Linked DNA regions of Caenorhabditis elegans. The protein of the gene in region 1 purifies or fractionates together with the protein of each later gene. This does not show direct contact. Each region holds a gene or a part of one and is shown on either strand. Other genes may lie near its edges. The genes, in order: fbxa-101 and F07F6.7.

Region 1 (3,953 bases):
CAGAATTCCTAGTTTATTGTTTTTGGATTTTCAAAATTTCAAACATAGTTTTTGCATTTTTCCTGTCGTTTTTGTGATTTTTATTTGTGAAAATTTATTAGACAGAAAAGAAATTTTCAGTTTTCACGAAATTTACTGGAAAATTTGTTATTTTACCGTTAGGTAACGTATTTTACAAAGATATTTCACTTTATCCGTATTTTCTTATTGTTTTCTTCACTTCAAACGATTGAAAACTGAATCAATCAAATAAATTTCCTATTTTTCAGGTAATTTGTCAAAATGACTGGCTCATCTCGTGGAATTGTCGAAATGACAAAGAAACTGGATCGATTAAATTGTTAGTGTTAAAATGAAATTTGCATCGGATTCAGTTTAAAATTTGCTTATTTTCAGATCGAAGAAAAGACCACTTACGCTTTTAAGCATGCCAGTTGATGTTATGGAGAAAGTTATGAAGAAAGTGGATCCATACGATTGGTATCAAATTTTGAATGTTAGGCAAATGTTAAAAAAAAACCAAATGAGTTTCAGGATTTCCGTCCGCAATTCCAATCGAAATCTTCGAGATTTCGTCGACAGCCAGCACCTCAAATTGGACATTGATGTTTCTATTGAGGGCACTTTTCACACCATTGATATCAATGGAAATCAATCCTTCGGACCTTTCCATCCGGTCGTGGCTGATGATGAAAGAAGAACCATCTACAATAAAAGACTACAGTTTGCTCTCAGAAAATTGTTCGTGGTTATGAAGCTTCCAAGTGCCCAAATTGAAGAGTTCAAACTGGATTTTGACTTTATGGGAAGAGGAAGTGACGAATTTGAAGATATCTACGATATTGGTTCCAGAAGAGTTAGTTTTAAAAATAAACTGTTGAGTGCAAGCCTGAGAACAATCGATAAGGAGTTTGGAGAGTTTCACTGTTTCCAAGCGAAATCAGTTTCTCTGAGTGGACTAAAGGAACCTCGAACTGTGCTCATTCTCAAATCTTTCAAGTCTGGAACTCTCGAGAACATTGAAATCATTAATTCCTACAAGTTCTACTTCAGTTGGCAGCTGACGCTTTCGGAGCAGTGGAAGAATGCGAAAAAACTGAAAACTGGACTTTCCACTGATCGCTACACCGGAATTCGAGTTGCTGAACTGTTCGCATTTTCAAATATCGAATTCACAACTGTAGTATTGTCATCTGATTTGAAAGTGGTATAGAAATTCTTAATTATTGATTAATTAATTTTAGATTTTTTTTCAGTTGGTTGATTCGTCTGCAAAGCTGGAAACTTGTCTCAGCAGGAACACGTATGACAGCGAGGATGACAGCGATGAAGATAGTGATGAAGACAGCGATGATGAGGACAATAGTGGAGTGTTAACGGTGTCAAAAGAAGTGCTCAAAGTGTTCGATCCGAACTTTGTTGGCTATAACGGAACAATCAATTACAAAGCAAATGGATTCGAATATCTCATTGAAGTCACTGAATTCGAAACTAAAATTGTGAAGAAAATCGAATAATCTTCTCATTTTTCAAAATTTGCTTTTGTTTTACTAGTCACATGAATTCTTATTTTGTTACTTTTTTTGTTTTGAAACTGATTAAACCAATAATTTGGGTTACGGCTGAATGTTACCTTCCGTTTAATATTTTGTAATCTTCCCAGTTTTTCTATATTTTAAAAGGAATTCTCGAATAGTTAACAAAGATCCTTTTCCAAACTACGGTAACTCTCAGAGTACGCAGTATGCGTACCGGGCATCTCATTTGACGCACAAAAATTCTAAATTTTTTTTTGAATTTTCAAATGTGGTTTATGCGTTTTTCTAACCAATTTTTTGTGATTTTTCCCCTGAAAATGATTTAAAATAAGTAAAATAACCTGTTTTTGTAAAAATTAATTTCGTTTTTACACATTGAACGTGATTTTCTATATTTACTCAAATTAATTTTTTTCAGGTAATTCGTCGACATGACTAGCCAAAGAGCAGAAATTGGTGAAACGACGGACAAGCAGAATTCCATGAAATTGTTAGTTATTTAGGCTACAATAATTTCAAATAACTTTTTTAAAACACATTTTCAGATCGAAGACAAGCTCGCCGACGCTTTTTGACTTGCCTCTGAATATTATGAAGAAAATTGTGAAGAAACTGCATCCATACGATTGGTAAGATCAAATAAATAAAAATTATATTTTTAGAAAGTATAATAAAAATATTTTCAGGATTTCCGTTCGCAATTCCAATGGAAATCTTCGAAGCTTCATCGACACCTTGAAACTGGATTTGGACATTGATATTTTTATTGAGGGCCATAGGTACACCATTGTTCTCAATGGAAAATCATTTCGTTATCGGTATAGATTTGTGCCTTATGATGAAATAAGCAACGCTCGCAATGAACCTTTCCATCCGGTCGTGGCTGATGATGAAAGAAGAACCATCTACAATAAAGGACTACAGTTTGCTCTCAGAAAATTGTTCAATGTCATGAAGCTTCCAAAAGCTCAGATTGAGAAGTTCAGTCTAGATTTCGACTCAATTGGAGGATATGAAGACTATGTCCACAATGAACGGTTGAGGTCAAGCCTGAGAACAATCGATATGGAGTTTGGAGATGCTCACTGTTTCCGAGCGAAATCAGTTTCTCTGAGTGGATTCAAGAAACCACGAGCTGCGCTAATTCTCAGTTCTTTCGATGCTGGAACACTTGTGAAATTTGAGATTATGCGTTGCATCTTCAACGATATTCGTCCACTAACTTGCTTGGAACAGTTTAAAAATGCAAAACAATTGCGAACTGATCTTAACATTTGCTCCGTCTTTGGATTTACTGTGTCGGATCTTCTTGGATTTTCAAGTATTGAATTCACCAGTCCAGAGGTATCGCCAAATGATCTGAAAGAGGTATAGCAATAATCAATTTTTAGTTGATTTAATTAAAATTCTTTCAGTTGGTAAATTCGTCTACAAAGCTGGAAACTTGTGTCGTCAGCAAGCAATTAGATGATAGTGAATCAATTGCAGAAGAAATGCTCCAAGAGTTTGATCCTACCTTCGCTGGCAAAACCGGAACCATCAATTACAAGGCAAATGGATTTGAATATGTCATTGAAGTCACTGAAGAGCGAGTGAAAATTGAGAAGAAACTCGGCTGATTATTTAATTTTAATTTTTGTTTTTTGGTTTTTCAAAAATTGTTGTTTAATTTATTGTTGTTCATCTCGTTCTCATGAATTTGCTTTTGTCATTTTTCTTTGATCAACACTGGAAGGCTAATAGACTACAAACTAGACATTTTATAAGCCTAAGCCAAGAAAGTACATTGAAAAAACGTCGCTTCCGGTAAAGAAAATAAATCAACCGAAAGCGAAACTTGACTTTTTTTTGAAAATTATTTATGGAAAGTTCATGTTTTTAGTCGTTTTAGTGAAAAAATTTAAAAAAAAAAATTAAAAAAAAAAAAAAAATCAAGTGCTTAAATAAATTATATATTTTTGAAAAGAAAAATGAATTTATTCCTGCTCTAAGCTACAAATTTGTCATATTTTGAACCTTTCTTCTAGAAATTTTAGCTGAAAGTGAAGAATATACTAGCAAAAATTGTAAATTAATTTTTTAAAAACGTTTTTAGAAATTTTAAATTTTTTCACAAAAAAAAAATTTCCCAAAGTGTTTTTTCAAAATTCAAATTTTAATTTTATTACAAGCCCAAAACGTGTAACGAGTTCTATAACAATGATCTGGACCGCAAAATATGTCATTTTTGCAGCTATTTACACATCCCTTCGATGCACCATGGGGGCTCATTGCTCCAGTCATTGGCTATTTGGATACTATTAATAATAATACAAATACATGTTTTTCGCTGTAAATTATTGATTCCCGCTACTATATAATCATATTATTCAAGTTTTGAGAGAGTTTCAAAATTTGAAAAAAAATATTTTGTTT
Region 2 (3,551 bases), on another chromosome or scaffold:
ATGTTTTCATTTTTGTCAAAATTCAGATAAAATCAGACAAGATGCAGATCAAAGATGATCACGACGACGCAGGTTCTCAGTCGGAAGACAACGGAGTTCCAATTTACGATTCATTGGAAAGCTTGCTATTTGTAAGATTTTTTTTAAAGTTTCAATAATACGGTACTGGGTATTTTGTAAAATTCCAGCGGGTGTGCGCCTTTAAAGAGTACTGTAATTTCAAACTTTTGCTGCTGCGGATTTTTACTCGACTTTTCATTGTTTTTTTCCCTAAAAAAATTGTTTTCAATAAACTAAAACAATGAAAACACAAACATTTTCAAAAAATTGCGAGAAAACTATGAAAAGTCGATGAAAATTCCAAGCCACTATACTTCGAACCTACTGTACTCTTTAAAGGCGCACATCCGGTTGTATTTAACAAAAATTGTCGTATCGAGACCGGGTACCGCATCTTTCCACAAAAAATTCCCGTCTTCGTAATATAATTATTAATGAATTTAGATTCCAAGGTCAATGTCAAAAGAATTGAGTGAAACAGCATTGCGTACACAGTTTTTATTGGACAAATGGAGCAATAATCGAAGAAAAATTGTCAGACAAATGGAAGGAATTGCTGAGAAGGTATGTACTTTAATGCGAGATTTTAATCAAAATGAATTTTAAAATTTTTAATTTCAGCTGGATAATTGGGAGAAAGGATGTGCAATTTCAACAGCTGTCGGAAGTACCGTTGGTATTGCATCTGGAATTGCAGTTATTGGAGGACTTATCTTGATGCCACCAGTTGCAATTGCTGGTCTCATCGTTGGAACAGCTTCAGGAGTTTCCAATTTGGCGACAGGCATCACGAAATTTTTTCATACAAAAGGGCAGCACAAAGAAGTAGCTGCAATGATTGCAGAAGACGGTGTACTTTTTGAAGAACTTCTGAAATCAAGAGAAGAACTTATGGAAGCTGTTCGGAAAATTGTTGAAGATGAGGAATTCTTTAAACATTTCAAAAACGACGGGGACATTGAAAATAAGCTGAAAACTGTGTTCGGTGGATCAGTTACTGGAATAACTGGAATTGGAACTAGATTTGCAATTACTTCGATGGTAAGCTCTTTTTATTATTTTTTTCATCAATATTATTTATTTTCCAGGGTCGCCTCTCCTCTTCTCTTGTCAAAGGAGTTCTTCACAGTGTAGCTGTAATTGGAATCGTTCTAGACAGTGTCACATTGGCGTTGAGCGCCAAGGTACAACAATTAATTTGAAATTTTCAAAATAAAATATACAAATTTCAGACTCTTGGAGAAGGATCCGTGTCGGAACTTGGATCTTCTATTTTAGAAGCATCTTCCAAAATGGAAATGATGCGCCAAAAAGTGGTAAAACACTTTTTGAATGAAGACGTCTGGAAAGACGATGATGACGTCCTCTCCGATGTTGGTTCTATTGAAATGGTGCAGCCAGAATCTCCAAATCAGTCACTGATAATGGATCCACATCAACAAGAATCATCTGTACAACATTAATATCGGGATTTTGAATTTTTCTGGGTTTCACTACTGTTTTGTTGTTATTTTGCGAAAGTTTCATGCGAATAAATAAAATAAATTCGGCACTTCAAGTGTGGGCATTGTGAAAATAACGGAAACCCGAAAATGGTAAATATCGATTAAAATCCAGAAAGAATGCGAGCTACAGTATACTCTACAGTACTAATTTAAAGGCTCAGATGTTCAATATTCCAGGTGGTCTTGAAAAGACACCTCATTGCTCAGAATAAAAATCAAAAACGAATCCGTGTTTTTAAGGAATTATTTTTTATTGTACTGTAACTTGTCTTCATTTAAATTCTTGTTTTCTTATTAAATTATTCACTATTTCAAATTCTAAATTAACTGATTCAGAGACTTATCTACAAACTGCAAAGCGATATGTCAATCTATGAATCTTTGAAAAGCACGTTGATGGTAAGATTTTTATTCAAATTCATTTTTTATAATTTATATTTCTTGTTCAGAATGGCGAAGAAATGCCAAAGGAACTCCAGGTTAAAGCCTGGGGAGCTCAATGGCACCTCGATCGTTGGAGCTCAAACCGACAAGAGATCATGAACCGAATGGAGGAGATTGCTAAAGATGTAGGTCGATAAAACATAGTTTTTCTATTTATTTTCTAAATTTCAGCTTGACGGATTGGAGAAGGCTTCAGCCATCGCAACAACTGTCGGAAGTTCCGTTGATATTGCATCTGGACTTGCAGTTTTCGGAGGACTATTCTTCATGCCACCAGTTGCAATTGCTGGTCTCATCGTTGGAGCAGCTTCCGGCGTCTCAAATGTCGCAACTGGAGTGAACAAGAAGCTTGCTACCGATCATAAAATCAGAGAAATCAATCGAATGCTCGCGGAGGATGCGAAGTTTTTTGAGGAACTTCTTCATTCGAGAAATGATTTGTTGAACGAAGTGAGGAGATTTGTGGAGGACAAGCAATCGTCAAAGATTTTCAAAAACTTCGACGATGTCCAGTCTCATTTGAAAACACTTTTTGGTGTTTCTCTCGCCGGAATCACAGGATTCGGAATTAAAATGGCCGCATCTTCCATGGTAGAATAGTTGTTTTTTTGAAATTTAAATTTTTACCTTCGTTTTTAGGGCCATCTCACGAATGCACTTATGAAAGGAATGCTGCAGAGCGTTGCAGCCATCGGAATCGTTCTGGACGGTGTTACCCTGGCCATGAGCGCTAATGTAACCGCGAACAATGTTATCAAAATATAATATTAATTTCATTTCAGACGCTTAAAAACGGATCTTCCTCTGAATTGGCAGGAAAAATTCGTGAAGCTTCCGGCAAGATGGAAAGGATGCGACACAATGTTGTAACCAACTTCTTGAATTACGACGCCTGGAACAGCGATTAGTTTTCACTTTTCAAAGTTTCTTGATTTTTTTCTTGTTGATTTTCTTTTCTTTTTGTTGTTTTCTCGTTGTTATTTTTCTTGTTGTTGTTCTTATAAAATCTGACACTGAATTAAAATGTTCATTTTTTTGACAACATCATAGATTCAATGTAATTTCGACAAAAAAAATGGGACAGATTTACAGCTCGAGCTCACGGAGCATGTTCTTCACTCCATCAATCTTCTTGAGTAGATCTTTGACGACATCAGCATCGTTCGAAATTTGAGCAGTCTGAAAATAAAGCCAAATTAAAACTGAAAATCCCTTTAAATCATCAAATCTCACCACTCCAGAATTATTGTGCTGAAGAAGAGTCTCGCGGGAGTATGCATAGTGTGGCTGCTGACTGCGTGGCAAGTATTCACAGACACCTTTACGTTGAAGACGGTCAGCAAGAATCGCTGTAAAAATTATTATGAGGGGAATTTTCAAAAGAAAAAACGCACATTTTCCACAGAACAGATTGATCATGTTAATAGAGCCTTGAAATCCACAAGCCATGGCGTGAAGCGTCGAATTTTCCATTTGTCCCCATTTTTTAACAACCTCGCGAATATTATCAAATGATGGAATGGCGACTGGTGACCAGGTAAG

The links.
Region 2: the proteins of fbxa-101 (region 1) and F07F6.7 fractionate together in Caenorhabditis elegans (co-fractionation; one large-scale study listed by BioGRID). This does not show direct contact.

The regions. Positions count from the first base shown.
Region 1 is NC_003279.8:12,957,936-12,961,888, reverse strand, and holds fbxa-101 (DUF38 domain-containing protein), read left to right. Parts: upstream 1-1,956; 5' UTR 1,957-1,969; coding exon 1,970-2,028; intron 2,029-2,083; coding exon 2,084-2,167; intron 2,168-2,224; coding exon 2,225-2,906; intron 2,907-2,953; coding exon 2,954-3,157; 3' UTR 3,158-3,249; downstream 3,250-3,953. Other genes in the region: fbxa-140 (F-box domain-containing protein), read left to right, coding at 428-480, 535-1,207, 1,257-1,517.
Region 2 is NC_003280.10:5,422,209-5,425,759, reverse strand, and holds F07F6.7 (Apolipoprotein L, 1), read left to right. Parts: upstream 1-1,901; 5' UTR 1,902-1,928; coding exon 1,929-1,964; intron 1,965-2,014; coding exon 2,015-2,134; intron 2,135-2,180; coding exon 2,181-2,600; intron 2,601-2,648; coding exon 2,649-2,744; intron 2,745-2,791; coding exon 2,792-2,917; 3' UTR 2,918-3,025; downstream 3,026-3,551. Other genes in the region: F07F6.8 (Apolipoprotein L3-like), read left to right, coding at 42-131, 505-624, 682-1,101, 1,149-1,244, 1,293-1,523; Embryonic developmental protein tofu-6, read right to left, coding at 3,096-3,188, 3,243-3,358, 3,404-3,551.